Linked DNA regions of Canis lupus familiaris. The protein of the gene in region 3 interacts with the protein of the main gene of each other region in a pairwise test. Links are inferred from orthologs where the notes say so. Each region holds a gene or a part of one and is shown on either strand. Other genes may lie near its edges.

The links.
Region 1: the proteins of SGTA (region 3) and PLAAT4 interact in binary tests that used the Homo sapiens proteins (3 or more experiments, as listed by UniProt). The two-hybrid records come from large-scale screens. The link is inferred for Canis lupus familiaris from reciprocal best matches to the Homo sapiens genes SGTA and PLAAT4.
Region 2: the proteins of SGTA (region 3) and SDC4 interact in binary tests that used the Homo sapiens proteins (3 or more experiments, as listed by UniProt). The two-hybrid records come from large-scale screens. The link is inferred for Canis lupus familiaris from reciprocal best matches to the Homo sapiens genes SGTA and SDC4.

What each region holds. Positions count from the first base shown.
Region 1 is NC_049239.1:53,928,487-53,938,531, reverse strand, and holds the start of PLAAT4 (phospholipase A and acyltransferase 4), read left to right. Parts: upstream 1-4,887; 5' UTR 4,888-4,997; coding exon 4,998-5,006; intron 5,007-7,678; coding exon 7,679-7,787; intron 7,788-8,568; coding exon 8,569-8,837; intron 8,838-10,045. UniProt on the Homo sapiens protein: Exhibits both phospholipase A1/2 and acyltransferase activities. Shows phospholipase A1 (PLA1) and A2 (PLA2), catalyzing the calcium-independent release of fatty acids from the sn-1 or sn-2 position of glycerophospholipids.
Region 2 is NC_049245.1:33,275,101-33,285,251, forward strand, and holds the start of SDC4 (syndecan-4), read right to left. Parts: upstream 5,159-10,151; 5' UTR 5,097-5,158; coding exon 5,025-5,096; intron 1-5,024. UniProt on the Homo sapiens protein: Cell surface proteoglycan which regulates exosome biogenesis in concert with SDCBP and PDCD6IP.
Region 3 is NC_049241.1:56,910,100-56,920,095, reverse strand, and holds the start of SGTA (small glutamine-rich tetratricopeptide repeat-containing protein alpha), read right to left. Parts: upstream 6,611-9,996; coding exon 6,511-6,610; intron 6,070-6,510; coding exon 5,963-6,069; intron 5,693-5,962; coding exon 5,608-5,692; intron 4,656-5,607; coding exon 4,556-4,655; intron 3,412-4,555; coding exon 3,307-3,411; intron 2,283-3,306; coding exon 2,144-2,282; intron 1,618-2,143; coding exon 1,555-1,617; intron 292-1,554; coding exon 254-291; intron 1-253. UniProt on the Homo sapiens protein: Co-chaperone that binds misfolded and hydrophobic patches-containing client proteins in the cytosol. Mediates their targeting to the endoplasmic reticulum but also regulates their sorting to the proteasome when targeting fails.

The DNA of each region.
Region 1 (10,045 bases), on a different chromosome or scaffold from region 3:
GAATTTCTTAAATATCAGATAAACACTAACCAAGGCCAAAAGCATTAATAACAATACCTCAGGATGTTTTATGATCGTAAAAGTCTACTTTGGTATCCCCTTTTTACCATCTAGGTTCCCAATTCCTGTGTAACCGATCTGTGCACTAAATCCTACTGTTTCAAATACCAACATCTTTTGTGAATGGCCAGTGACAGGCAGAGCAGATTCTGCATTATGAGCAAGGAACACAGGACACATTTTCATTTCCCACATGGAGCACCCAGGGCTATGTCAGAAGATAACGGTTCTATCAGATCTCTGGAATTCGGCTCCGCTTGGATATCAGTTATAGGAAAAACAGAGATAAATCTGAGCAGCCTGGGGCAGTTCTCTACCTCATTGGACAGGACAGAAAAAGCCCTCCTCACAGATGAGGCCCCTTCCCCACTGTCCCTGTCTGTCAGTGGCTGCTAAGGACTGACAATACCGAGACTGGAAAAGATCCCAATGGGGACACAGGCAAGGGTTTATCCAGGATGTGTGATGCATTGTGTCCCCGGAGTGAGCATGTGTCTAGAGGGTGTGTTTGGCTTACCCTTGTGTTTTCTGTAAACGTGTTTCTGAGTGGAGTACATGTCTCCCTGTACAGATGTGTGTGCTTTACACATACATACACACACACACACACACACACACACACAATGCAAATCAGCTGATATAGAATAAGTTCGATCTGGAATGAATAAAGGTCTCTAGCATTTTATTTCCACAAGGACAAGCTAATTGCTCTCATTAGAACATAATACAGATGTTTGTTTCCATTCTAAATTCATGGCTGGTGTTTAAATAGAAAAATGTGTCCCTGCCTGGAGAAGCTACACCAATGACAGTCCTCTAGTGATCATAGCCAGGGTAATAAATCGCAATCAAGTCTCCAGGCTTTGGGCTGTCTTGGATAAACAGACCAGGGGATAAAGAACAAGGAAGATATATAGACTAAGCCGCAACTTCCCCAAACGGGCTCTGGTATTCCTGGGGTGAACACAGGCAGGGCCAATGGCATAGTTTAAGAGGAGACTGGAGCCCAGGGAAATGCCCTCTGAGAGATGCAGAGTAGAAGGGTTTGCCCAGGTATATGTGTGTGTACCGTGTGTGTACTCAGTTGACTATGCGTGCGGGGGAGGTCTGCTCTCTTTCCGTGCATAGGCGTGGGCAAGCACGTTCAATGAGTCAGAGCATTAGGCATAACCCAGCAGAATTAAGAATTAGCTATTTCCCCTTCCTTCTTTTCAGACTGACCCTCAGGGCCCTAACATGGTCCCCCTGCTCACTGTGTCCCTGGCCACATGACAAGGATTTCCTTCCTCAGATTCCTCTCCAGTCTCAGGACACTCATCACTAGGAGCTGACACTCTGAAAGATTAATGGTACCAGAAAAAGCCTCTCTTCCTCATCCATTAGGTAACTGCAAATCCCAGAACATATTTGGCAGTGGGGAAACGGGTACAGGTTGGAGGGAACCCTGAATTCCCAGAGGAAAATCCTGACGATGGGGTGTATTACACTGTTCCAGAGAGGAGTGATCAATGTTCTCCTCAAGATATTTTTGGCTCCAAGATACAAGATTAAATGAAAAGTTCCTTAAAGGACCCAATTTTGCTTTCTACATACCATTATCTATTAAAGGAATCAGGCTCCTTAGAAAAATAACTGATTTCCAGCATAAGGGACAGGAAAGTAGAAACTGAATGTGGATTATTTTGCTCTGCCAGAATGTAAATGTTATAGGTTGAATCTGTCCCCACAGAATTCATGTGTTGTAGCCCAACCTCTAGCACCGCACAATATATTTGGAGATAGGGTATTTAAGGGGTAATTAAATTAAAATGAGATCATATGTGTGAGTCCTAACCCAACTGGTGTCCTTATAAGAAGAGATTAGGACATAGACACACACAGAGGGGAGATCATATGAAGACTCGGGAAGAAAGCAGCCACCTACAAGCCAAGGGCAGAAGCCTCAGAAGAAACAGACCCTGCTGGCACCTGGACTTGAACCTCTCGCCCCCAGAATCATGAGAAAATAAAATATTCTTACTTAAGCCAGCTAGTCTGTGTTATTTGCCGCGGCAGGCCTAGCAAACTCTATGTTCAAAATATATCAAGAATCAAATCACTTCTTGCTACTTGGTTGTCCGAAATACAACCAGCTGCTCTTGGTTGCTCCCACTTGTACTCCAAAGCCATTCTCAATACAGGAATTAGAGGTAGTCTAGGAATCAGCACAAGTCATGTCACTGTCATGCTCCACCCGCCAGTGGATTCCACTTAATTCAGAACAAAAATCAACACCCTACGCCATGTAGATAGGGCTCGGGTTACCCTTGGCTGTTTTCTCCTGCGACTCAATTCCCAGATCCAGAAACCTTGGCAGACATGTGCAGCCACAGGGCCTTTGCAATGGCTGCTCCGTTCACTTCCTGCCTCCTTGAGTGCGTTGCTCAAAAGTCACTTGTCCAGTGAAGCTGTTCCTTCCTACATAGGAGACCTAAAATTAAAATTGCACCTCCCATCATCTCTATCCCCTTTCTATTCTCCATTTTTCTCAGCATTTGACCATCTAACATAATATCTACCTTATGATACTTCTGTCCATCTCTCCAACAAGAAAGTATGATCCACAGTGGCATAGATTTTTATCAGTGTTGTTCACTGATGGATGTCTGACTTCCTACTGCAGTGCTTGGCACGTGGTAGGACCTCAGTGGGTACCTGGTGGCTACAGGTTTAAGATGAGGTTGCACCATGTGCTGAGCATCGCACGAGTAAGTTATCTCAGTGTTAGACTTCAAGATGACCGCTTGCCCTTGCTCCCTGAGAGAGCAGCCCCAACCTCAACGACCAGCACCACCTCCCTTTTCCCCCAGATGCCTTCCCTCACCTACTCTCCAGTTGTCATGGGAGGTTATGTTCTGATGTCTTACCACCTCGAATGGGAAAGGCCCTAGCAGTATCCATGGCAAAATGAGGTATATATGTGCTTCTCAACTAAGGAGAAAGGGCCTGGGATTGAAAGAAGACATACATGTCACAGGAAGATAAAAAAGTAAATGTTGGGGCACCTGGGTGGCTCAGTGGTTGAGCATCTGCTTTTAGCTCAGGGCGTGATCCCGGGATCCTAGGATCGAATGCCCCCTTGGGGTGTCCACAGGGAGCCTGCCTCTCCCTCTGCCTATGTCTCTGCCTTTGTGTGTGTGTGTGTGTGTGTGTGTGTGTGTGTGTGTGTGTCTCATAAATGAATATATAAAATCTTAAAAGAAAAAAAAAGAAAGAAAAGAAAAAGTAAATATCTGGTAAACAAATTTCCTGGACTACCTAGTGACAGTGGTACATAAAGGACTTTGATCCCACAGACCTTAACTGGGTTCCTCCCTATTTACCATAACTAGTTCATAATACAGTGTGGTTATGTAGGTGGTAGTTATCTTCCTAGAGCAGAACTCCTAATCAATTCTTTTAGGCATTTGTGAGAGAAGTAAAGAACCAAGGGAGACGGCCTCCAGGGGCTGTAAAGCTCTAGTAGGACTAGCTCCATCTTGATTTAATTTTGCCCTGAATATTTCTCCCTCCCTTGTCATTCCACAGTAGACCTGTTTGAACGCTGTAAGCCTGTTGGGGAACTAGCTGACCTTATAGGTTTTGTTTTTTTTAAATTTTTAAATTTCATTTTTAAAAAAGATTTTATTTATTTATTCATGAGAAGAGACACAGAGAAACATAGGCAGAGGGAGCAGCAGTCTCCCTGTGTGGTGCCCTGTGCAGGACTCGATCCCAGGACCCAAGGATCACGACCTGAGCCAAAGGCAGGCACTCAACCACTGAGCCACCCAGGTGGCCCTGTCCTTAGGTTTCATAGGAATCCTCAATTAAGGCAGAACACATTGCACAAACAAACTAATGATCATATTCTTGCACATCACCCCATAAGCACATGATAAGCTAGTAATCAATTCTGCTTAAAATTTCTCAGGAGGGCAGCCCCAGTGGCTCAGCGGTTTAGTGCCACCTTCAGTCCAGAGCGTAATCCTAAAGATCCGGGATCGAGTCCCATGTCGGGCTCCCTGCATGGAGCCTGCTCCTCCCTCTCCTTGGCGTCTCTGGCTGTCTGTGTGTGTGTGTGTGTGTGTCTCTCATTAATAAATAAAATCTTTAAAAAAAAATCTCTCAGGAAACTTGAAGAACCTGACGCTCGATCACTGAAGACATGTGGTGGATTACTCTAGCCCTCGTGGCACTGTAGCTGGTTTCTTTTTTCATTCCTGTTCCCCTTTAAAAGCCCTTCCTGCAGGGAGATGGGACAGTGGTGTTTTAGGACATGAGTCCACCGTCTTCTCAGTGAGCGGGCTTTCTCGAATAAAATCGCTTTCCTTGTCCCAACTCTTTGTCTCCCTCATCATATTGGCCTGTCGTGCAACGAGCGGGTGGGACCCAGGTTCAATCACAAGCCACAGCAATTCTATGTTTTGAGGTAGGTAATCACAGACCTTCCATTTAGAGTGACTGTTCAGTCTCCCTTTAAAAACTGTTTCTCGGGATCCCTGGGTGGCTCATCGGTTTAGTGCCTGCTTTTGGGCCAGGGCGTGATCCTGGAGTCCTGGAATCGGGTCCCACGTCGGGCTCCCTGCATGGAGCCTGCTTCTCCCTCTGCCTGTGTCTCTGCCTCTCTCTCTGTCTCTCATGAGTAAATAAATAAAAAATCTTTAAAAACAAACAAACAAACAAAACTGTTTCTGTGGTGCCTGGGTGGCTCAGTTGGTTAAGCATCTGAGTGTTGGCCTCAGATCAGGTCTTGGTCTCAGGATCCTGAGTTTGAGCCTGGTGCTGGGCTCCACCCTGGGCCTAATGCTTACTTTACTAAGAAAAGTAGCTTTACATAGCATCGAAAAGGAAAGTGAAAGCAAAACTTTCAACTTCAATAAAAGTTGGTGCACAAGCAGCACACAGCAGACAGCACCATGACTGAGGTAAGTGTCCCTGACTTTCTACCTAGGGCTCTCCAGGGGTGGGGGGGCCCCTTCCTATAAAGGCCTCAGTCTGGGTTCCTGGCCTTGGGCACAGTTAACTCCAAAGTTTGGAAAAGCTTCAGAAGGAGGTTCTGGAAGACTCTTTGTAGTTTAAAAGTCCCTCTTTAAAAGCCCCTGCTGGGCTGTGAGGGCTTTGGGTCCAGGGAGCCTCCTCGCTCCATCTGGCTCAGCCGGGGCCCAAGGGCCTCCGGGGGTAGGAGCTGTGGTGGCAGGGGGCTCTGTCTCCTGAGCTGGGAAGCATCTGGGGCGTGGGTGAAGGGCGGGGGGTCCCAGGACTTGGGAGGTGAGTGGATCCCCGCTGGGCCTGGCTCCCTGGCTCCAGATGGACTTCGGCGCCTGCTCAGCTCTGTCCTCCTCTCCCTCTTGCTCCATGGCACTTGGCCTGCCCTGTGAAGTCGGCTTGAATTTCAGCTTTCTGACGCGGACTCCCTTCCTGACCTCTATGGTGTCCAGATTCCCACACAGCCCAGGCAGGCCTAGGCAGGGCTCGGTGGCGGGCGTACAGCTGAAGGGGAACAAGTAGAATTCAGGCAATTCAGGGCAATGAGATCATTCCAGAAGGAGCGGCCTTTGTTGCCTGGGCAACCATCTCCTTATCCAGGCACGGCCCAAGTTCACATTGGATCTGCTGGCAGCTCCTATGCGCGTGGTGTCTGGGCTTGACCTTATCACAGGTGGAATCCAGAGTGCAAAACCCCCTTTTGATTCCAGCGTGGAGGCCACCCTTGGACCAGCCGTGCCCTGGCTGAGAGAGGGGAGGCCCTGGCCCTGGGTCCCAGCCCTGCTGGTCCTCCAGCCTCTCTTCCATGGAGATTCCCTTGGCCCCCATTCTAGGCCAGGCCCTCACTGGTTCCCAGAGAGGAAGGAGGCAAGGGGCACCACACAGGATCCCGCCCCACTGGAGCTCCAAACCCAGAAGAGGTGCAGGCAGGCAGGGAAAGTCCCGGCACAACATGATCTGTGCAGAGGGGGTGGCTGCCCCAGGACCTGGGGACCCAGAGAGGGCAGCTGAGCCAGGCGGGCCTGATGGCAGCTTCTCAGAGAGGACTTTCTGGTGTGGATGAGAAGAGGAAGGGAGCGGGTGGGGAAGGGGACTGGGGGCAGAGACAGCCAGGTGTGCAGGGGAGCAGAGGCAGGAGCCAGCTGTGTGGTGAGAAGGGCAAGCCTGGCAGCCTGTGGAGCAGAGGGCAGGGAGGGTGAGGAGGGCCTGTGAGTGGCCCACAGAGCAGGCCCCATGCCCTGAGGCCAGATGTGCTCTGTGGGAAAGCCACGGTGGGTCCTGGGGAGACCAGATGTGGGGGAGAAGGGACAGGAGGCCAGGATAGGAGTGGGGCCTATGGTCAAGAGGCCTTAGGGTCAGGACACCTTGCTGGCTAAGTCAGAAAAACATGTGACCCTTGATCTCAGGGTCATGAGTTCAAGCCTCACATTGGGTATGGAGATTACTAGAATAAAGTAAAAAAAAAAAAAAAAAAAAAACACAGGAAAAAGAGGGTGAGGGTCTCAGAGACAGGGTTGGGGGCTGCCCTGAAACGAATCACAGTGTGAGAGATGTTTGAGGAGGAGAATTAAGGAGAAACTCCTGGATTCTACATTGGTGGATGGATATTGGCACAAAGAAGAGGGCCGGGGTACACAGGCCCCAGGTCTCCCATGAGGTGGCCTGCAATCAGAGATAGAGGGTTGTGGGCTGAGAGCTGGCTCAGAAAGGGAAGAAATTGAAACATTCTCAAAGCAGAAGCCATGGCAGCCTGGGGGGGAGGGCACAAGCCCTCCATGTGCGTGCTGTGACCGTCCCCATGGGTCCAGATGCTAGCTGGCCCCACAGAGTCTCAGGTTTCCTTAGGATGCTGTCAGCTCCTGCCTCTCAGGTTGCCATCTCCGAGGGTGGGTGTCTTGAGGCTGGCGGGGACAGAGTCCAGGGAGGAACAGGTGCCTGTGTGGCCATGGACAACCAGGGCCAAGAGGTGGGATGAGGACCTGAATGTCAGTCTGAGAAGAGGAGAGAAGGTGGTGACTCCCCTGCCCGACTGCTGACGATGGGTTCGGGGCTCCCAATCTCAGTGAAGGGGTTTTCATGCAGGGAGTCACGTCAACACTCTCAGGAGCAGCCGTGCAATGAACCTGAACGTGCACATTCACATCCTCCTCGGTGTGCCTATGAGTATCCACAACACGCACACACACACACACACAGACACACACACACACAATATGCAACACACACAGATATGCATGTAATCAGAACACAACACACATAGAACACACATGCACAACACGTACATATATATTCATGTGTGCTACTGCACTGCAGCCCATACCACATGTACACAAGCACATACATACATGATAATGTGGGCACACTGAACAAATCCCCACTCTCCTATTCCACAAGGTCCTTTTATCCAGACTTCAGCCCCCAGTTTGGGGAAGCTCTAAAAGTGACAGAAGGCTGAGGACCTCACAGAGGCCAGGAGTTCCCTCCCACTCCAGGCTCTCATCAGGTGATGAACATCAGCAAGGGGGTCCCCAGGCCAAGCTGCAGGGTCCCAGGAGGGCTCTCAACTGTTACCTAGAGGCTTCCTACACCATCTTGGGTTTTTCTGTTGCAGTTTCATCAAGAACCCAGGCCTGGAGACCTGATTGAGATTTTCCGCATTGGCTATGAGCACTGGGCCATCTATGTGGGAGGCGGTTATGTGATCCATCTGACTCCCCCAAGTAAGAGCTGTTGGAAATATAATTTTTCAAAATATTTGTTACCAGATTGAGAATAATTGGAGGAAAGAGCTGAGCAAGGGAAACCAGAGTTGGTTTCTCCCTGAGCAATGCTTGAGCAGATCCTATATCCATATCCCACTGCGTAATTGAGTGGGATCCCATAGATCCAGGGGCAGGGAAGTCAAACAGAATGCCCATTCCACGGACAGGAAGGGAATGAGAAGCCTTTGATTGCTGGGATCCAGCTCATGGGTCACTGGAGGTCACATCTTCAAGATGAAACCCCCAACACCCATATTTTGATTACCCAAATGGACATAATATGTACCTCGAAAGTTAAAAGGTGATGAAGTAATACATGGAAAGTAGCAGTGTGTGAAACACAGTCAATAGTAAAATAAATTTGTTCTCTTCGCGAAATGTATAAGCGCACAAAAATGAACAAATAGTAAATGTTTGACTATCACTGGTCATAATGGCAAAAATTTTAAAGACCTAAGTGTTCAATAATAGGGCTTGGTCAAATAAACGATCTATATTCATGTGACGAAATTACAATGACATTGCCATAAGCAATCATGACATTCACTGACTTGAAAAAGTATTCACAGCTTGTTAAATAAAGATCTAGGAATCCTCCAATCACCTATGTGAAAAGACAAACAGTGACACTCCAGCAGTGTCCTCCTTGCTCCTCTTTTTCATCCTGCCTCTCTTCTCTCCCTGTCTCACCTTCCCCTGCAACCCACCCCCATGACCATGACCATATCTCTGACTCCAGGTGAGTACCCTGGGGCCGGCTCCAGCAGCGTCTTCTCTGTGCTGAGCAACAGAGCCGTGGTGAGACGGGACCGCCTGCAGGATGTGGTGGGGAACTGCCGCTATAGGGTCAACAATCACTTGGACCACAAATACACACCAAGGCCTGTGAATGAGATCATCTACTCTGCAAAGCAGAAGATTGGTCAGGAGATGCCATACAGTCTTCTGAGCAGAAACTGTGAGCATTTTGTCACCAACCTGAGATATGGTGAACCCCACAGCAGGCAGGTAAGGCCCTCTGAGGTGATCCCTCTCCCTCCTGAATGTCTCCTGGGGTGTCTAAGCTGGGCAGCGAAAGGGGAGAATCATTATGACCCACATGCTGGAATCAAGATGTCTGAGCTCAAATCTTCAATCAGATTTTGATCCACTGGGGGTCGTTGGACAGGTCACTCCCTCCCTGGGCCTCAGTTTCCCCACGTGTAGGAGGAGGAGTTGAATGGAGGACCTCGGGAGGCCTGCCAGTCTGACCTTCTAGGATCCTGCAGCTTGAATACCCACCCTAAAGGCAGCTCCTAATGCTCCCAAAGCGTGTTGGGAAAAGTCAGGGCCAAGCCAACCGCATAACAGGTCTCCTAAGGCCCCAGAGAGCCCTCAGCCAAGGGATGCTCAAGGTCATGAGCCTGTGTAAGAGCTCAAGGATATATTTATGGAAGATCTGGGGCTCAGCTCCACTCCCACCTCTTCAGTCTTCCATGTGTTGTCCCCAAAATGCACAGCTAGTTATTGGCAGAGGCAGGATTCCAACCCCAGCTGTCCTTCTCTAGAGTCTGCTCCTTACCGCTGTACAGCAGCAGGCCTAATAATTTAAAGTATCGCATCACTACTGCTCCTAGTTGGGCCATTTATTTAAGAACTCATAAAGAGCACCTCTGTGCTTGGCAGAGCTGGGTGCGGGGGATGCAGTGAGGAACAAGACAAGTGACACAGGTGAGGTCCTTGCTCTTCCCGGAGTCACAGTAGTGACCTAGTTTGGGAGCAGTTCCTGGGCCACCTCACACTTGCTTCAAGGGCTCCCCAATGGCCAGACAGGATGTCAGCCATCCGGGCTTCATCTCCTCGTCCATTCCACTACTATCCCCAGGGACTTGTGTTCTTTAAATACTTGCAGGGCTCCAGGCCCAGGTGATTGGGTGGACAGAGGCTTCTGGATGAGATGAGGGTGAGGATGGGAGGACCAGGCTTGCGGAGGGAAACCAAGAATTTGGAGGTAGTTGGTGATGGGTGGCCTTTAGACCTCCAGGTGACGATGGTGAGTAGCAGTTGGACCTAGGAGTCTGGAGTTGAGAGAGGAGCTGGGGCTGGAGGTAGACGTTTCCATGCTGCAGTTCACAGTGCATAATGAAGTCAAAGTATGCTCCCTTGGCCATGGTGTCCAGAGGTCTCTCCTCAGCTTCTGCCAATCCCCCTCCCTCCCTGGGGGTGTAGCCTAGACA
Region 2 (10,151 bases), on a different chromosome or scaffold from region 3:
TTGCAGCTGTTGGGGGGAGGGAAGAGAGTGTTCCAGGGGGACTCGGAGTAGGATCTTCAATGGTACAGAACCAGCTGGCATCACTATCACTAAGAATGCAGCCTTCCTCCCAGGCACACACTGGGAACTTTACTGCAGGCTTGTCACCTCCTCCCAGCCTCCCCACAATGCCCAGGAAGCAGAGGCTGGGGGGCTGGGTGACATGCCCACAGCCATGTAGCTAGTTAGAGGTAGACTTCACACCTCTGCAAGTTAGGTCTGCCTAAGTCCCAAACCAATGTTCCACTGCTCTCCAGCCAGTTCCAGGAAGCAAGGAGAGGGCATCAGAAAAATCAGAGACTCCTGGGGTTCAACCATATCTGGACTGTACCAGCTTGACTCTGGGGGCTCAGAGCAGGGGCAGCTTCAGTTCTGCTTTAAGGGAAACAAAGCAACACCTGCTCTGCCCAGGCCCAAAGACCAATTCTGAAGACTGGCTGAATTCGCACCCTGTCAAAGCCCACCCACAGACAAGGCACTGAGAAGGTCTGGCGTCTAGTGCTGGCATTCCCTGTACACCCCCTCAAGGTCCAGGACGCTGAGATACTATCTCTAATAGGGTCTCAGAGGACATGGTAAAACTCTATAGAGCCCATTCCAACACCCCCACCAGAATCATCCTTCGGGCCAAGAGGTTGAAAGGAAATGGGTGACTCAGGCCAGCCACGGCTCTCCTCCAGTGACTCACAGGCCCTGTCCAGCCCCTTCCCCCAATTTTCAATGGTCATTTGGAAATCACACCCACCAATCCAGGAGGCTGAGAACAACTAGAAGCCAATTCCTCCCTAGAGGGAACTGGGGCGGGAAGCCCAGCCTGGCTCTCCCAGCTCCTCATTCAAGACGGCCCAGCACTCCAAGTCCTTGGAAATGCCCTCTGTTTCCAGGAGCTGGGGATGGCAGGAGCTGAATGTCTCCACCTCCCTGTACCCCACCCCCCAACTTGTCCTCTTGTTTAGAATCTTTACCAAAGGGGCCAAGAAAGCTCCCCTCCCCGCCATTGATGTGTTTTCAGGGCAGGCAGGATCCACGGAGGGGTTTAGTTCAAGGTGGGCTTATTATAGAGTTGGGGACACTGAGACCCAGAGATAGGGTACATTTACTCAAGGTCACCCTGCAGGTCAAAAGCAGAACTCAAAGTATCTGCCTTCAAAACCAGCCGATTTCCTCATCTGGAATGTCCTCTCAGGGTGCTCAAACCAGACACCTTGTATTATCAGAGAGACCTAGTCCTGACCTTGGCAAGCCACTATCTTCCCCTGAGCATCAGTTTCCTGTAAAAATGTAGATAATAGGGACGCCTGGGTGGCTCAGCGGTTGAGCACCTGCCTTGGGCTCAGGGTGTGATCCCAGGATTCTGGGATTGATAATCAAGTCAGCATCAGGCTCCCTGCGAGGAGCCTGCTTCTCCTTCTGCCTCTGCCTCTATGTCTCTGCCTCTCTCTAGGTCTCTCAGGAATAAATAAATAAAATCTTTAAAAAATAAACACGTAGAAAATAAAATCTACTTCACGGTATCCCTGGAAGACGTTCAGATTAGTGATAATAATCTCAACGCACCTTTTAGAATGAAGCTACATGCGAGTTTATTCATTCGTACAAACATTTCCTGAGGACTAACTGAGGAACAAGTATTTCACTGAAGATGAATAGAGCAGAAATTCCCCCCTCCCCTGCCCCAGGGGATGTGTGTGGGTGGAAGTGGTATGTGTGGTCGGGTTGGGGGATGGGGAGTGGGCATACGACTCAGATTTTGGTGGGATATATTTACTAATTCTCTCACAAACTAAGTCTCTTCAAGGGAGGCAATGCCTTAGATGTCGGGGGTTTCTACAATCTCTTCCAAAGAATAGGTATTTATTCATAGAATACTTGAGCCGAGAAGGGCTCTCAAGGTCATTTGTTTCAAACCGCATTTTACAGATGGGGTAATGTCAACCCCACAGAACCCTCTAAACCACGGCCCCAAATATCTTCCGTGGTGGTTCTCTGTGGCTTCTAAGAATTCCAAAGAGCTCTCACTGGCCACTCATGGGGTCCCAGACCCCCTATGCTCCTGCCCTATCCAACCTCAGTGCATTCAAGGAAAGAATTCTCAAGGAGACCAGAAACCTCTCTAAGCTAAAGTACACCTCCCCAGAACCCACGGGGCCTGGTGCCACATCAGGAGGCTGTGCCCCTGGGCGGCAACACTTCTGGGGGGGTCCAGCTCCCAAAACAAGGCTGTCTTTAATTGGCTAGGGAAGGAGTGGCAGGAAGGCAGTCAGGTAGACAGGAAGAACTGGTTTGGGATAGCAAGCCCTGCCAGGGAAGAGACTGGTTGCTCAGACTGGGTTCCCTTCCCAAAACTTCACCAAGCCCTCGTGGTGGGGATAGGATACCACCCAAGGGGAAGGCAGGCCTTTGGCTTACACCCAAAACTTGGGAAGGGCCTCACTAGCACTACTGGAGGGGGACCCTCAGATCCTTCATCCGGAAAGTGGGTATGATATAATCCCCACATGCTGGGCTTTCTGTGAGGATAAGACGCACCAGACCGGGCACCGGACCCGGCATGTGGAAAGCACCCCACAAATCATAACTGCCATTAGCTAATCCCTTCTCCAGTGGGCCTGTTTCCTCCACCTGTAAAAATCTACCCAACTATGACTAGGCCTGATTTTTCCGGCCACAATCCTGGCAGTAAGGGGACAGGGGAGGCAAAAGGGGAAGCCCTGTAACCCAATTCGAGGTGGAAGGTCTGTGACATACCTCAGGAAGGGGAGTGCTGAGGTCAGGATGAGGGAGACCAATACCTCTCTCCGGAAGCAGCTGCTCAAGGGCCAGCTTCTCCCTAGCTGATGATGGGTCACCATGTGTAGGGCTGACACAGCTGCCCTCCCCCAAACCATATCCTTCCGACTGCCCCCAGGACACAGCTGTCTGCTCCTCACCCTGAAGCACCTGCAGACTCAGCAGCCCCTCACCCGGGACTGCCATGTGACTCCCATGCAGTGATCTCCTAACCTCCTGGGGCTTTCTATTTCCCCCCACGCTACCCACAGGAGCCAACATGCATTCCTTTGGATGTCTCCCCAGCTGCTTGACTCCAACACATCTCTCAGGGTCTAGTTTAGAGCACTGCACCAGGGAGCAGCGGGTGTGAGCTGGAGTCCTGGCTCAGACATTAACTTTTCCATAAGGTTGCCCATAGTTTGGGGAAGTCGTCACCTCACCCTGGGCCCGTTTCCTTCTACCTCAGAATTTCTTGAGGCTGGCCAGCCCCAAATCTCAACAGATTCTAAACTCTTGAGTTACCTGAGGATGGGACACAAGGGCAGCCCCTCAGAAAGCATCAGACCACAGCTTATCATAAGAGCAGGAACTTGGGAGCCTGGCTGGCTAAATTTGAATGCCTCAGCCCCATATTAAGCTGTGTGGCCTTGGATAAATTAGCTAACCTCCTCAACCTCAGGACCAATTTAAGGTAAACAGCCGGGCTGTCAGAATTAAATCTAGTTGATAGGCCATTAGTTAGAACAGCCGTTAGAAAGCTATCAGAGGGATCCCTGGGTGGCGCAGCGGTTTGGCGCCTGCCTTTGGCCCAGGGCGCGATCCTGGAGACCCGGGATCGAATCCCACATCGGGCTCCCGGTGCATGGAGCCTGCTTCTCCCTCTGCCTGTGTCTCTGCCTCTCTCTCTCTAGCTGTGTCTCTATGAATAAATAAATAAAATCTTTAAAAAAAAAAAAAAAAAAGAAAGCTATCAGAACACCATAAGGCACACCATAATGTTTGCTATCATCACTGCTTGCCTTCAATTGTGCTGGCAGGTTATTCTCAGGGTCTCATGCATTCCTCAACAGAAGCCAGCCAGGCAGAAAGGACTTTCCTCCAAGCAAGCGCAGAGAAAAAGGAGCCCCATGAGGAATCCACAATGATAAAACTCCACAGACTTCCTCTAAAAGGGGAGGTGGGCTTAAGGCATGAAGGGGGCACAGGGCTGGGGTTCTTGGGGGGACAGATAGCCTCTCCCATCAATTCCTGCTCCCCCAACTTCCCAGATGGGGAAGCCACCCTCTTCCCCTGATGGTCGCTGGGATGAATGGAGCTTCTGGTGGCCTAGGGCTTTGTAAACTAGGACAGAGACCAGCGGGCGAGTGAGAAGAGCTTCTCGGTGCTCACTGTAGCCTTCCCTCCCCCAACCCCCTTTACTCCACTCCAGGTGGGTACTCCGATTTCCCGAGCGAGCGAGCGCAGTTCAGCAGAAATAAACAGAATTCTCGCAGAAAGCAGAGGTTCAACTCTTGGTGAAACGCTGGGCCCAGACCACCCCTCCCCGTCCGCCCTAGAAGGATCAGAGTCTCAACTTTGGAGGGACCCTAAAGAAGCACTGGTCATCTCCTGCTGCGCTCGCCCAGCCCCTGGGCAGATAGGGAAACTGACACTCAGAAGGGGGGCAGGGCCTTGCCCTGTCACCAGCCAGGGGTAGTGCTGGGGCCGGACCTGTGGTCAGGGCTCAGCTCCTCACTCCCGGGTGTGTGATACAGGCCCCGCACAAGCGTCCCCCTCCCCCTTCCGAGCACACGCCAGCCCCCTCGTCCCCAGGCCCAGTCGGATTCTAGAGCAGCCGCTGCGGGCGCTCACGGACGGCGAGCAGGGGGGTCCGCGACTCAGAGCCTGCCCCGGGGTCACCAGGGAAGGGCGCCAGTGTGGGGGGAGAAGAGGTGACACCGGCTTAGTCACGTCCGAGCCTGGAGCGCGCGGCGGGGCCGAGGCCAGGGGAGGCGGGAAGAGCAACAGGCTGGGGCGCACGTTCGCGCGGGGGAGCCGCCCCGGCCCGGAGCCTCCCCGTCACCCCGGAGCCAAGTTTCCAGCAAAGTTTCCCCAGCCCCGGCGTCTAGTTGGAGGCGGCGCGGCCCCCTGAGCGCCCCCCCCCATCTCAGGCCCCCAGGAACAAAGGAGGCAGCGGGCCGCCCCCGTCCCCCCCCGGATGCCCCGGCACCTACCGACTCCGCGGTGGCGGCGGGGGTGCCCACGACCAGCAGCAGCAGCAGCGCGAGCAGGCGGGCGGAGGCCATGGTACCGCGGTCCGCAGAGGGCGCGCAGGCGAGTGGCCCCGGCGGGCGTGCGGCCCCTCTTATAGGCGGTGACCGGCCCCGCCCCGGCCCCGCCCCGCCCCGCCGCCGCACCCCGCCCGGAATTCCCCGGCGAAAGCTGGGCCTCGGGGCGCTCCGGCCGCCCACGCGGCTGGAAACCCCGAGGGACCCGCCTGGCGCGCAGCCGCCCGCTCCAGATCCACCCCGAGTCCCTGTCCCATTTACTCTTTTGATGTCCTCCCAGGCAGGCCCCCGGAGATCCCTGCGTCTAACCTCGTTTTATACCTGGGGAAACTGAGGCCACGGACTCGCCCAGGGTCTTCCCTGGAGGCCGGCGCTCCCCAAACCCGCTACACTCCCCCCCCCCCCCCCCAGGGTACGGAACACATTCCAAATGGGACGTGAACGTGCATAGGCTTGAGGGGTCAGCAAACTTTCCCTGTAAAGAGCTAAATAGTTCAATCTTTGCGGGCCATTCGGTGTCTTGTCATACTTAAACTCCAGCTTCGTAGCTCGAAAGCAGCCACAAATACTTAAAAAAGAAAGAACGCGGCTGTGTTCTAATGAAACACTATTTATGGAACACTGAAATTTGTATTTCGTATAATTTTTAGGTGTCACGAAATATCCTTGTTTTGATTTTCTCCCTATTTAAAAATGTGCAAGCCATTTTTTAGCAGCAGGCTGAACAAAAACCAAGGGTACCCCCATCAGGGTAGACTTTTTGGTCTTACGATGGCTGACCTCTGTTTTAAGGGATTTCTTTTTCCAGGTTTTGAACTTCAGAAAAAGTTCCGTCTCTCAGAACTAGTCTGCGAGTCTATCCCAGATCTGCTCCCACCCTTTGTAAAAGAAAGTTGAGTTGGCCTTACCACTACACCCCCCCCCCCCCAAGCTGTAGGGAAGGGTTGGAGGTGGAAATCCTCTGGGGGTCTCCAGGTACAGATACTGTTAGAATTACTAGGAGGAAGCATCATATCAAAATTAATCAAAGTACCAAAGGTGACTAGACTGGTTTCTCACCCTGATTGATTTCTGTGTGTATCCTTCTAAGGCAGAGGTACGGCTTCATAACCAGGGTATTTTGGCCTCTGTCGGCAAACTGAATTCATATACTTTGCAGAGTAGAGAGTTGGGAGTGATTTCTCCTCTTCCCTCAATTATTAGCAAAAGGATGGAAAACCTCACGCTGGAGAGATCCTTGACTGTAAAGCAAGCTTCAAATGTGGATCCTATTTTTCCCCAGGGATTTAAAGGTAAGCAATTTTTTCCCCAATTTTTTTCGCCATACCCTTCCCTCGGATTGAGAAATATACTGAGAAAATGAGTGGATTTCACGTCAGTAAGATATTCTTTCGCAAGTCAGATGGTTTTTGCAATCTTTGCTTTCCACACAGTCCCAGGAGGGCCTAATATAGTTGTTAGTACATAGATCATTAAAATAATTTTTGATGATAGGTCACTATGCGTTTTTGGTTATCTGTCAACACATCGCTATAACAAAACTCCTTTTATTCCCACCAACTTCTTACAGCCAGTGGTGTGCTGATAAATGTTTAACAATAGGTTGGGGGAAGCAGGAAGTGCTAATTTGTACCATTTGTCAATTTCTGTGGTATAAATACTCCCACCTGATTTCAAATTCCCAGTGTGATGTCATTGAACACAGAGTTGGTTAGAGATGAGCAGTATTTCTACCACACATAGTGCAAAATAATAGGCGCAAATAATATCAAGACCATGGATAACAATAAGATCTAATGAAATAACTAGGAAGTCATGAGTCTTGAGTACAAAGTGTTTCCTTTGTTTCTAATATAGTTTATTTAATTATAAGTTTATATAATTTAATTTTTAGTAATGGCCATGTTCCCTAAAGTGCCTAGCCTCTGTGGGTGCCTAAATCACCCACAACAATTGAACCAGTACAATCTGACTCTGGCACCCACTGCTTGACAGCTATAAAAATTAAAAGTAGAAATAAAATTATTGCTAAAGTCTGTCTCATTCTTGCACAAGCAATATCCCTCCAGAGCCATGTGGACGAATGGAGAAGGAAACATTACTCAGTTTTACTTTTTTTGTTTAATAATTATTTATCAAAATTTGTAGAACTGGTTTCACCAGTGTATACATATGTCAAATTGCACACTTTAAATATATGTAGTTCATTTTATTTCAGTTTTATCTCCAAAACACCATTAAAAATGCTTTTAGGACTTCAAAAAACTGTAATATATTTAAACTGCTTTGATCAATTGTGTTTTTATGGGGATACCTGGGTGGCTCAGTGGTTGGGCGTTTGCCTTCGCCTCAGGGCGTGATCCCTGCTTCCTGGGATCCAGTCCCACATTGGGCTCCTTGCATGGAGCCTGCTTCTCCTTCCTCAGCCTGTGTCTCTGCCTCTCTCTCTGTGTCTCTCATGAATAAATAAAATCTTTTTAAAAAGATTGTGTTTTCATGATAATTGTAATGATAGAGAATTTGAATACCTAGTCGTAAGGTCGTGGAAGGTAAAATAATGATTCAATTTATGTAATTTTTTTAGGCAGAAAAGTATGATAGTGCTATCAATAAGCTATTTAAGCATTTAAGAATAATATTATTGGTTAGGTGCCTGGCTGGCTCAGTCTGTAGAGCATTCAACTTTTAATCTCAGGATCATGAGTTCAAGCTCCCTATGCTAGAGGGGTGAAAAAAAAAATTATGGTAAAATGTTTATGTGCTGAAACATGGAGTGGAAATTTGAGTTTGAATAGAAAAAAGAATGATGTGAAATTTCCATTAGAGAAGAGCCTATTCATGATTGATTGATTGATTGATTGATTTTAGTAATCTCTACACCCAAAATGGGGCTCAGACTCAGGACCCAGAGATCAAGGGTTGCATGCTCTACCCACCAAGCCAGCCAGGCACCCCCATTCATGTATTTTTTAAATGGATGGTTGTAGGTATCAAATTGTAGGTATTTAATTCAACTGTATATAATGAAAAGAATGCTATAAACATCTATTTTTGAGTGTATGAATTTATAATACATCAGAAATTGCAACCTTTGCAACTATTTAAACTCTTTATGAAAAAGGATTAGCAGTCAACTAAAAAAAGTGCCAGAAATACATAGTTGTTCAATGATCATTTGGAAAGCAGACTGACAAAAAGATTAAATACTACCAGGTTAGACACCAGAAGCTCTTCTATAAGAGAGCTTTCTATAAAAAAGCTATCTTATAGATAAAGCTATCCCAAGCTCCTGAAATGAAGGAATTAATTTCCCCTTCTCTGTGTTCTGAGAATCTCTCCGAAGGCATGAAACACGTTTGAATGTGGTTATTTGTAGATTTGTAGGGTTTTTCCCTGTTCTTCTTGAACTGGGGACAAGGGGAAACATGGATGATCATTACTTCCATATCCTATGTATCTCTATGCAAATTTCTGGGGCAAGAAACCTCAGATTCTCTCTTCCTGATCCCCAAGAGGTTAAAAACTATTTGAACAGACTCTGAGGCCTTTTAAAACGTCTTAATGGGTTCTTCTGTGACTCCTACAAAACAAAATGCTGTAATCAAAGGTGAACTGAATTGAAGTCCTCAATTCCCCTACATGAGACTGAAGTAAAATACAACAAAACAAAACAAAAACCAAGCAAGCAAACAAAACCCACCCAGGTATTGGGGCCAGAAATTCTTGATTAAAATCCTCTTTTCTGGCACTCACCAGTGAGAGGAAAGTTTAAAGATCACTTTGCTCCTCAGTGGGGGGATAAAAGACCTACCTCTTGGGGTAATTAGGAAGATGAAATAAAGTGAAGTTCTGGGTACTGAGTCCATGCCCCCTACATTCTGGCCCTTCCTTGGTTTTGCCCCTGAGATAGAGGGAGTCTGGAAGATGGCATGGGCCACGCACAGATCCTCCTGCCAGCTTCCTTTCGAGCACAGAAAAGTGATTCAGAGAGTCAGCAGGCAGCTCAAAAAGGAGCTGAGATCTGGCTTATAACTGGGGTAAAGCTGCCCCGTCCCTTTTCTCAGGCCTCCGAGGCCAAAGGTAATCAAGTCTGGGTGTACACCTGGCGCATCCAGAGACACCTAACCCAAGAAACTACAACTAATCCTTTCTGTAATGGCCCAGATCAAATGCCTCCGCTCCTGGAAGGCTTCTCAAAACCCTCTCACCTTTTCTTTCTAGCTTTCCTCTCTCCTTCTCCTGAGATCGCTGTCACTCCATCAGTCCCTCCCCTTGGACAAACATCCCTTTCTCTCTTATGTTGGAGATTAAGGGCACAGGCTTCAGGGTCAGAGAGATCTGGGGGCTATAACCCTCGACCCGAGACAAGACATTTTACCTCTCTGCATCTCAGTTTCTCTTTAGTAGCTTGGGAGCCACGTGTGTTGAGAGTATGGTACTTTGCACAACACCCGCCACATAAATGATATCCATTTTTATGATCACAGAGTTCTCCCTCTAGGAGTCTTGAGTTGGGAAGCTTTCTTGCCAAAAGCTCCTCACACAAAGTAAATAACAGGTAATCATGTCACTATTTTCAGAACAGCTGAGAGAGTGGGCGTGGGGCTCTCTCTCCCAGAACAGTGCCAATGCTCTTTGGTCATCCTCATTCCATGCAAATCTCTCTCCAGTTCCAGATACTGACAGCCTGGAGTTTCCAGAGGCCGTGTAATGTCCAGCCACTGCCTTGCATAACCACAGAACCTGGGAACCCTGGACAAGGAAGGACCCTCCCAGACTGTTCATCCCAACAGCACCCCCATTGTAAGACAGGCAAACCAAGGCCCATACAGTGAGTCAGCACCCACTGGAGGGATGGCAAAGAATTCTAAAGATAGCCCCACCCCCTCCAATCACTTTCTCCTTGCTTTGCTTTATTTTGTTTTGTCATAACACTTTCCTCACCTGACATCATGTCTTTATCCTTTTCCTTATTTATCGTGTTTCCCAACCAGACGTAAACTCTGTGAGAGCAGGGACATGTTCTTGTGCATGGATGTATCCCTAGCATCTTGCCCAAGATCTGCCACAAGT
Region 3 (9,996 bases):
TCTAGGACGGGGAGGGGTTTCATGGGGGCCGGGGGCTGAGAGGGGTGATGGCTGATGGGGACAAGGACTCTTTTGGGGTGATGGAATGTTCTGGAATTAGATGGCGGTGATGACTGCACAACACTGTGAATGTACTTAACACCACCGCACTGTAAACCCTGAAATGGTTAAAACGGGCAGGCTTTACGGCAGGTGCGTCTTGTCACGATAAGAAATCTAACCCCAGACCCGAAGGAGCATGGTTGTCACTTACAGCTGCTGAACCTGCGGATTGTTCATTAGGTTTGACGCCTAAAGAAAAGAACACAAATCACACAGGGAAGTGCCCGCACCGTCTCCTGACCACACACGCCCCTCCTGCTCGGCGCCCGGGCCCTGGGCCTTCCTGACGCCCTTCCTCGACCTCTGATCTGCCACGTTTTACCACTTTATCCTGCTTGGGTCTTTTAAGAGACCCCCGAGCACCTCAGCATCTACTGGCTGCTTAGGCTCTGCCGTGTAGACGTATTCTGATCCGTTTTCCCAGCCACTGAACACATCTGCATGGTGAGCCTCGTTTTGCTCCCTCGGTAAACACCGCTGCGACAGACGCTTGTGCTTGAACGTCACGCACCCCCCCGCCCCATGACGTTTCAGGAAGCGGCCAAGCGGGATGAAGAGGGGCCTGCCTGGCGTGGCTCACGGGGGCCGGCTAACTTTTAGGCACCAGCATCGAGGTTCTCTGCTTGCTGGGCCAGCCTCTGCCCCGCCCGCCCAACTGGCGTCACCACGGACGCACACCTGGGTGCCAACGCAACTACAAACCCCGCTGGTCTGCCAACCCCAGACGCGGGTGAGGTGTGAGCCCTGCCGGACCGCACTGGCCCCTTGCCATGCCCGGCCAGCCATCCTGCCTGCGGACCAAGTGCGGCCTCTACCGACTTAGGAGACAAGACGCTCCCTGCTGCCCTGAGGGTATTTCTGCGGCCAGAAGGCTGGGGATTTCTCTCGTCCTGATGCTTGGAGACCCTGGACCGAGGCCCCGTGAGCCAGCAGTGTGGCCTGCGGTGAGCAAGACCCCCATCAACGGCCATGGGTGTGCAGCGACCAGCCCGAGGCTCACAGCTGGGCGCCCCGCACAGAACAAGTGCTTCTGGCCTTAAGTCTCTGGCGTCAGAAGGTGGTGGCGTCCACCCGAACCCTGGGAAGCAGGTGGGGTGTGCTGCCGTCAGGGTCTCCACAGCATGAGGAGGAGACCGAGCTGGAGAGACGGATGCGGTTTCCCGGGTTATTGGGTGGGGAGAGGCAGGATCCAGCTGTCCTTCGTGCTCAGTGCTGCCCCCGGGGCATGGCAGTGTCTGGGGACCTAGGTGGTGGTCACACGGGGGGAGCTCCTGGCGTCGAGAGGGTGGGGTTGGGGATGCTGCTCAGCCCCTCAGATGCCCCGGTCACAACCCTAAGGAACGGCCGGGCCCAGTGTCCAACCCCGCCCAGGCCGGCAGCCCCGGCCCTCACAGGCAGACACAGCCCCGGGTGGTGGGCCCAGAGCCCGCGGGAGATGGGAGCGCAGGTTACCATGCTCATGAAGCTGGGGTTGTTGAGCAGGCCGGCGATGTCAAAGCTGCCGACGCCTCCCGTCTGTGGGGATGAGAAGAGCCCTGGTGAGTGGCCACAGGACCATGACACTGGGCCCCAGAAGATCCCACAGGGGGCCGGCTGGAGTCCCAAGACGCATACGGCCCAGACGCCCTCCCAACTGAGCGGCCAGGCCTTGCGGCTAGTGTTTGCCAAAGGCCCAGGCCACCCCGTTGATCCCTTAGGAGAAGTATTTTGTAACGCTCTGATGCCTTGGGCCCCTGGAGGGCCTCAGGGGTGACCAACGCCGGACACCACCAGTCCACCTTTAGCACGCAGGCCAGTGAGTCCACAGCCCACACACCCAGCCTTCCTCCATCAGCATCTCATGCTCACAGCCGCCGCCCTCTGCCCTGACCGCCCAGAGCCAGGTACTCGACAGCCAGTCGGACCCCGTGCCCCAGACTCTGCAGAGACTGCTCGCCTGGCCTGTCCTAACCCCACATCCCCGGCCTCACCCGCCCCTCCCCACAGACACCACAACAAAGGCGCCGGCCCACGCTCCCCTGCTCCCTCCCGGGCCGCTCACGGGACTCGGCGTCTCTCTCAGCTTCAGCTCGGCTATCTTGAGGTTTGACTTGTAAGTCTCGTTCTCAGGATCCAGCTCCAAGGCCTTCTTGTAGTATGCCACGGCCTCGGTGTGCTTGTTCAAACTGGAGAGAGCAAGGCTGGGGGGAGACACCAGGACATGGGAGAGGGCCCGGGGGCTGCCCACCCGCCACGCCCCAACTGCTCCAGCGCCACCGGGCCTAGCGTCTGCCAGGGACGGCACGCCAGGGTGGCGGGGGCTGAGAGGATGGGCTGGAAGGCCCAGAGGAAGGGCTCAGAGGCAGAGGGCAGGGGGTCAGACACGCTGGCCCTGTTCTCGGCACAGAGCTCCTAAGACGCAAAACTTCCTAAGTCACAGAGGTCTCCTGTGGTTTCTAAATTTTTTTTTTTTTAAATTTAATACCTCTAGTTTATTTTTTTTTTATTTATTTATGATAGTCACACACAGAGAGAGAGAGAGAGGCAGAGACATAGGCAGAGGGAGAAGCAGGCTCCATGCACCGGGAGCCTGACGTGGGATTCGATCCCGGGTCTCCAGGATCGCGCCCTGGGCCAAAGGCAGGTGCCAAACCGCTGCGCCACCCAGGGATCCCTCCTGTGGTTTCTATAATGAGCCCCTTTGATTACACCCGAGTTCCTGTCCGTGAGGTGACTCAGGATGGGGCTGGTGGCCAGGAAGACCAAGGCTGGGATTTGAGTGGGGACCTGGCAACCCCAAACCTCTGGGAGGGGAGAAGGCTGGAGAGCGGGCTGTAAGACTCCTGAACGATGACATGTGGACGTCCCCTTTGGTGACAGCATCACACCCCACTCTAGGGAGACAGGGATCTGCGCCGAGGACCTTCCTGGACCCTGCCCTGAGGCCGTGAGCTGCTCCAGCACATCACGGAAGCACAAGACACAGGGAAGTGGGAACCCTGATTCAGAGCAGTTGGGGGGCGCGGGGGAGGCCCAGCTTTATGACTGGCATCCGCGTGGGGCCAAGTCCTGACCGTCCATCTAGACGGAAGGGAACTGCTGGAGGTCAGCTGGTGACGGAGCTGGGCGTGTGGAAAGCAGCCCAAATAGGAAAGGGGCATGGGCTGTCTGCAGGGGAGGGGGGACCAGGAAGGCAGGGACCGTGTGGCCCCTCGCGACACTCACCCCATCCTGCCGTAGGCTTTGCTGTAGGACGGGTCTATGCAGATGGCTCGCTCGCAGTCCTGAACGGCACCCGTGTAGTTCCCGAGCTTGCTGTAGGCCGCAGCTCTGGGGACACAAAGCAGGGTGGGCAAAGCTGCGGCCCTCACTCGCTGCCATGGAGGAGCCTCAGTCTCCCCATCTGGCAGGTGGGCGGCGGGACACTGGGCTGCCCAGGGCTTCTGTCCGCCAAGTACCCGTGGTGGGAGCTGGGATAGCCTCCTGGGGAGATGGAGGCAGCTCGTCCTGATGACGCTGCAGAGCACCCAGGTGTGACGAGACCAGTCTGAACCCAAGTCAACGGGCTCGGCACCCAGGGTCTCCCCACCGTTGGGAGCCGGTGCTTGCTTTACGTTAGGGAACATCTATTACTTTTTTTTTTTAAGATTTGAGAGACAAAGAGAAGGAGCAGGGGGAGGGGAGGGAGAGGAAGCAGCAGACTCCCTGCTAAGCCAGGAGCCCAACGTTGGACTTGATCCCAGGGCCCTGGGATCACGCCCTGAGCCAAAGGCAGACACCACACTGCCTGAGCGGCCCAGGCACCCCCAGGGAACACCTGCCATCAGACAGGGACTCGGATTCACAGGGAGACCCGTCCCAGCACTCAGCTTACCACGCCAGATGGTTTCTCTTTCAGTTTTTAACATCCCACTTTACGTTTCCCCCAGAAAGGCAGCAGGGCTGAGCAGTACTCAGCGCTGGGCGCTGTGCGAGTGGAGGGTGGACGGCGTTCTCTGTGCTACGCGTGCAACTTTTCTGTCAGTGTGTTTGTGTTTCGCCCCAGAGTCAGAGGAAAGAAACTAAGACAAGAGCAGCTCTGCGCACCCGACCTGGGCTATCCAACGCCGGGGCCCTGGCTTGTGCCCTGGAGGGCGACCCTTGTCCCACCTCCCTCTCAGGCCCTGTCGTCAGCTCGGCGGTCCGTACTGGGAGGCTCTGGGAGGCTGAGGCAACTTTCCCTTAAAGCACCAGCCACACGGGGCTCCCCATGGCCAGCAGTAATGCCACCGTGAGCGCAGGCGCGATATGGTCACCCGTGGTTTGGCTTGCGTCCTCACCCAACACCTGTGCAGAATGGTGTCCCTAACTTTGATTTTAATGCCACGATCAGCTCCTGTTGACGCCTTGCTGGCCACAGGCTGCTGGCTGCTTATCTGGGCGCTGGATGAATGATTACAGTGTCAACACCTCCCCGAGCGCGCCCAGCCGCTACCTGTTACAGAAGTAGACGGCGTTGGCCGGGTTCAGCTCGATGGCTTTCCCATAGAAGTGCACGGCAGCTTCAAAGTTTTCTACCTTCATCTGCTCGTTTCCTAAAGGGAAAGAAAAAACAACGTATGCCCAGCTGTTCACGTCACATCCCAGGGGCCGAGACGTCCAGCCCAGCTCTCCCGGGCTTCTCCCTGAAGGTGCAAGACGTTGGGGAGGAGGGTCCGGGGGGCCAGGATGCAACACTCAGGGGTGCTGGGGTGTGGAGGAGGATCTGGGTTCTGGCCTGAGCCGGCACTGGGTGATGACCGTCACTGCTTTGGTCGTGACATTTGGAAACATAAGTCTCTTTGCTCCTTCTTTCACAAGAAACCAATTTTCACGAAATGTAATCTGAATGTAAAACTCACGTTTTCAAAGTGAATGACTCAGCGGCTTTTAGAAATTCACAAGTGTCCAACGCCACAACCTAATTCCAGAACGTTCCATTCCCCCCGCAAAAAAGTCCCTCCCCATGAGCAGTCACTCCTCACCCTCCCCTGGCCCCTGAGCCCCCTCCCCTGTGCGTGGGCGAGCCCGTCCTGGCTGTGTCACACACATGGACTCACACCCTGTGGGGCCTCCTGTATCTGGTTCCCTCCCTGAGCGTCGTGGGCTCAGGGTCCGTCCCTGGGGTGGTACATGTGGGCTAAGGGACATTCCAGAACATGGATACATCACGTTTTGTTCACCCTTTACCAGTTTATGGACATTTGGGCCGTTCTACCTTTTGGGTGCTGTGGACACACGCCTGCACTTGTCCTGGGTGTGGGAGGGGACTGGCTGGGCCACGTGCCCGCCGTGTGGCCACCGGGGAGCTGCGGGGAATGCCTTCCCTGGCGGCTGCCCCGCATACATCCCCGCGGGCCGAGCGCGGGGCTTATCCTCCCACATGCTGGCGCTGCGTGCTTAGGGGCCCGGCTCCCCTCCCACAGCTGCACCCCAGGGCCCCCCCGGCCCTGCCGCCCCGCAGGCCAGGTGGGTCAGGTGCCTGGTGGGGATGCAGTCTCAGCTCACCTTCGGTTTTGAGGCGCTCTGCCTCGGCTGAGTCCTCCTCTGAAGGCGGGGTCCGCTCGGGGCTCCTCAGGTCCTGCGGCACCTCCTGTCCCAAGGCAGACAAGTCGTTTGCAGGCAGAGGGCAACCCTACCGTCTCCTCCTCCAAAAAGCCCACACCCGCGGCCTCCCTCCTGCTCAGGGGCCACCCGAGGGCAGCTAGGCACTGTGGAGAGCACCTCAGGCCGGGGCCGGGCCCCCACTTCCCTGGTCCACAGCCGGGAAGCAGCCTGGGGGAGAACTCAGGTCTTGCATGGGTGCTTGGGGGCCCTGGCGACTCCTGCTGTTACGCCTATCCTGTGAAGCCCAGAAACTCACCTTGCCTGCAGCAGCTGCTTCAAATATTTCCGGCAGAGTCTGAGGGAGGGCGAGGTCATGGTCTTCCACTGTCACCCCAAAAGCAGTCTCCAGGCACTGGATTGCAACTGTGAGGTGGACAGAAGCATGTTCTTCTGAATGCAGCCCAGACTCTGGGGCTCTGGGGAGTCCCCTCTCTGTGAGACCCAGGTCAAAGGCCTGGCACATGGCAGGTGCCGAACCGCCAACTCCCACTGTGTCACTGTAGGCCGAGCCAGGTGGACGCCAAGGGGCTGGTGGCGGGGTCCGGGCAGAGGCCACTCAAGTGCCGGTCCAGCCTGGGATCCTGTCCCCCAGCCCTGTGCGGCTCCCAGGCGCTGTGGCCATTCCACCCTTTCTTTAAAATGAGCCTTTCTTCTCTGATCAGTGTGACTACGGTGGAGAATGTTCTGGAACCACACCTTGATGAAATATGGGGAGCTCACCAGAACTCCTGCAGGAAGCTGGGCCTGAGGTGACGGGGCTGGCTGTGTGGCGGGAAGCAGGGAGGACAGCGGGCCCACACGTACCTTCCAAGCTCTCCTGGGCGTCGGACGAGAGCCCCCCGTGCCGGAGCTGGTCGTGCAGGAACCGGATGATGGCGTAGGCCAGACGCTTCTTGTTATCCATCTTCAAACAGGAAGAGACAATGCCCTGGGGTTTTCAAGATCTGTGGAGCCAAGCCAGGGCCGTGAGGAGCACAGACCGAGGGCACGGGTGGCACCTGCTGCTCCAGGCTCCCCGGACCTCCGGGTGCTGGCTCACCAGGCCTGCACGAGCCCCAGGCCCAAGGAAGCCACTTTAAGTGCCCTGGGCAGGTCTTTTCTAAAGATTTTATTTATTTGACAGAGAAAGAGCATAAACACACGAGGGCACAAGAGCACAAGCAGGGGGCTGCAGCCGACGTCCCCCCCGCCCCGACTCTGGGGTCATGACCCAGGTGACCCGAGCCAAAGGCAGACACTTCACATCCTGAGCCCCCAGACGCCTCGCCTGGCCAGCTCTATCTGAAGAGTAAGTGAGGGGTAAACAGCTGGGAGGGGAGGGGCCCAGAGTAGCCCGAAAGGTGCAGGGGCACGGAGCCCCTTCCAGGCCGCCTGAAGGCCAGCTCTTGGTCCCTCTCCAAGTGCTGGACTCCCAGGCCGGGAGTGACCCTGCCTCAGGGACTCTGGGCCATGTCTGGGGACATCCGTGGTCACCACGATGGGGGTGCTCCTGGCATTGGGCCACGAGGACCTGGGATGTTGCTCAGCCCCCGGCTCCCAGGACGCCCACATAATGGAAAACTATCAGTTCCAGTGTCAGCCATGCCCAGGGGAGAGCCCTGGTCTGGAACATTCTGGGCAAGAGGGTTCTGCTACCTAAGGGTCTATGATGGGTCAGGCACGTCACGCAACACTGTGTCATCCCCTCCACACCACGACCTCCCTGGTCGCTCCCACCGACAAAAGCAACAGGTTGGGGACCGTGGCCTGTGAGGAGCGGCCGGCCCAAGGAACCCACAGCAGTCAGCACCTCGGTCTCCCCAAAACGCCTGCAGGGGGGTGAGCAGCCCGTGCCCCCACAGAAAACAAGGAGCGGGGCTCCTGCTGGCACTCTTGTTAGCTTGTTACCAGCCACGATGGTTCAACAAAGCCGGGGAGAGCCCGTCATGTGGCCCCAGGCTCCCCACGCAGGCCAGCGCCACACCGAGACGGTGCCTCCACTGGGCGCGTCTGCTCGGTCTCTGCTTCGTGGGAATCTGTGTCCCTTGACAGCTGCTTCTTCAAGTGGAGGAACCAGACACAGGAGGCCCCACGGGGTGTGAGCCCACGTGTGTGACACGTCCAGGACGGGGAGGGGGCTCGTGGGGGCCGGGGGGGATGGGGGTGAAGGCTATGGAGACAGTTTCTTTTTGGGGTGATGGAATGTTCTGGACTCAGAGAAGCGTAAATATACCAAAAACCACCATACTTTAAGGTAAACGATTTATACCTCAATTATAAAGGAAAAACTTAAAAAAAAAAAAACAAACCCATGTTCCGTAAGCAGGGGGAGGAATTAAAGCTCCTTGAAGATGGTAATGAGCTCCCCATTTCTGGACACATGCGTCTTTGGCCAGAAAGCCGCCTACAGCTGGAAGGTCTGTGATTAGGTGGAGCCGGAGCCTAGATGACAATAGGCGGTCCCAGACCAGAGGTCCCTGGGGGCTACCGGGGGGCCCACAGAGATCAACCATCACAACCCACTCATTTTGGGGGAAGCACAGCACCAAAAGTGAGTCCTGCTCCCCAGCTGAGGGGGTACAAGAGCACACCAGTCGGCCTGCTGACCGCCAAACCCAAGGAGACCAGACACGCGCTGAAACGTCAAGCTGTTTTCATTTTAGATGTTTGTTTTGGCAGCGACATCATCTCCAAGAGCTGAAAAGTAGACACAACTCAGTGTCTGTCAACACACGCATGGGTTAGCACAGGGCAGCCCGTCCACACCCGGGACACAACCCAGCCCCAGGAAGGAAGGGACCCCGAGGACACCGTGCTGGGAGGGGACCCAGACCCAGAAGGACACCTCCTGCAGGACCCTACTCCCAGGAGGTCCCCAGAGGAGGCCCGTCCACAGAGAGGAGGTGGTGGGAGCCAGGGGTGGGGCAGGGGTCAGTGCTTCCTGGGGACAGGGTCTCCGTGTAGGGAGATGGAAGGTTCTGGAGACGGTGGTGGGGGTGGTGCACAGCGGGGTTGAGTGTGCTCCGTGCCCTGAGCTGTGCGCTTAGAGGTGGTTAAGATGGTACATTACGTTACGTGTATTTTATTACAATTAGAAAGTTATTTCTTTTTCCCAGAGCCCAAGTGCTTCCTGTCAGATGTACAATCCCGGGACCCTGTATGTTGTGCTCTAAGTCAGGCCTTGAGGGTCACGTCTGGGCAGCTGCCTGCGGAGACTGAATCTCGATTTTTTAAAAAATATTTTACTTATTTATTCATGAGATACGCAAAGGGAGAGAAGCAGAGACACAGGCAGAGGGAGAAACAGGCCCCCCGCAGGAGCCCTATGCGGGACTTGATCCCCGACTCCCGGATCACGCCCTGAGCCAAAGGTAGACGCTCAACCGCTGAGCCACCCAGGGCACCCCCTGAATCTCACATTCTTAAGTCACGTTAAGTGCTCACACGATACCCCCGATCTCGGCCCCCACAAACCCACGCGTTCACCACCTAGCCCTCACGTCCGCCAACTCCCCAGCCCGAAAGCACCGCGGTACAAACCAGACGGAGGTGTTCAGGGTCTTGGCGGGGGTCACAGGGCCCGACAGGTGGCACAGCCGGAGCCCCGCCTGTGTGCTCCGGGCCTTCCCCTCCCGTGGGTCCCCCACGCTGGGCCATGCGCACACGTACGGGTGCGTGGGACGAGGGGAGCTACTGCAGGGCCTGGTGGTGAGGGGCGCTCGCAGAAGAGCGGACCGAGAAAGGAGTCTCGTCTTTGGCAGAAGTTTCCTGCCCTCCTGGTCCGGGTGGTGAAGGTGGTGAAGGTGGGAGCGGGGGAGCGTGACGGAGACTGCTGAGGCAAGGGTTTAAAAAACTAGAAGACCAAGGCACACTCCTTTCTGCCCTCCCACGCCCCCAGCCCTTGGAGCCTCAAGGCCTCTGCACCGAGGGTCCCCCCCCCCCCCCCGAGGGTCCCCCGCCCCGCGGGATCGAAGCACTCTGGCCTGATCACTCCCTCACTGCCCGCTTCCTGAGCTTCCTGAGCTTCCCCCGCACTGCCTGCCACCCTGGCGGCTCCTCTCTGCCGCCCCGGCCCCTCCCTGTGACTCACAGCCAAGGAGTCAGAGCCCCCCAGGGCCTGCCCGGGGCGGGCACAAGGATGACAGGCTGGAGGACGAGGGCCTGGAGAGACTCTCAGGTCCAGCCATTTCTGCCTGAGGCCTGTTCCACGCCCCTTCCCCCAGGCCTGAGCTCTCCGTCCCTTCTAAGAGTCCCAGCCAATACTCTCACTTTCCTCTTCTCTAAAACGGGGTAACAGGGGTGTCCTTACCA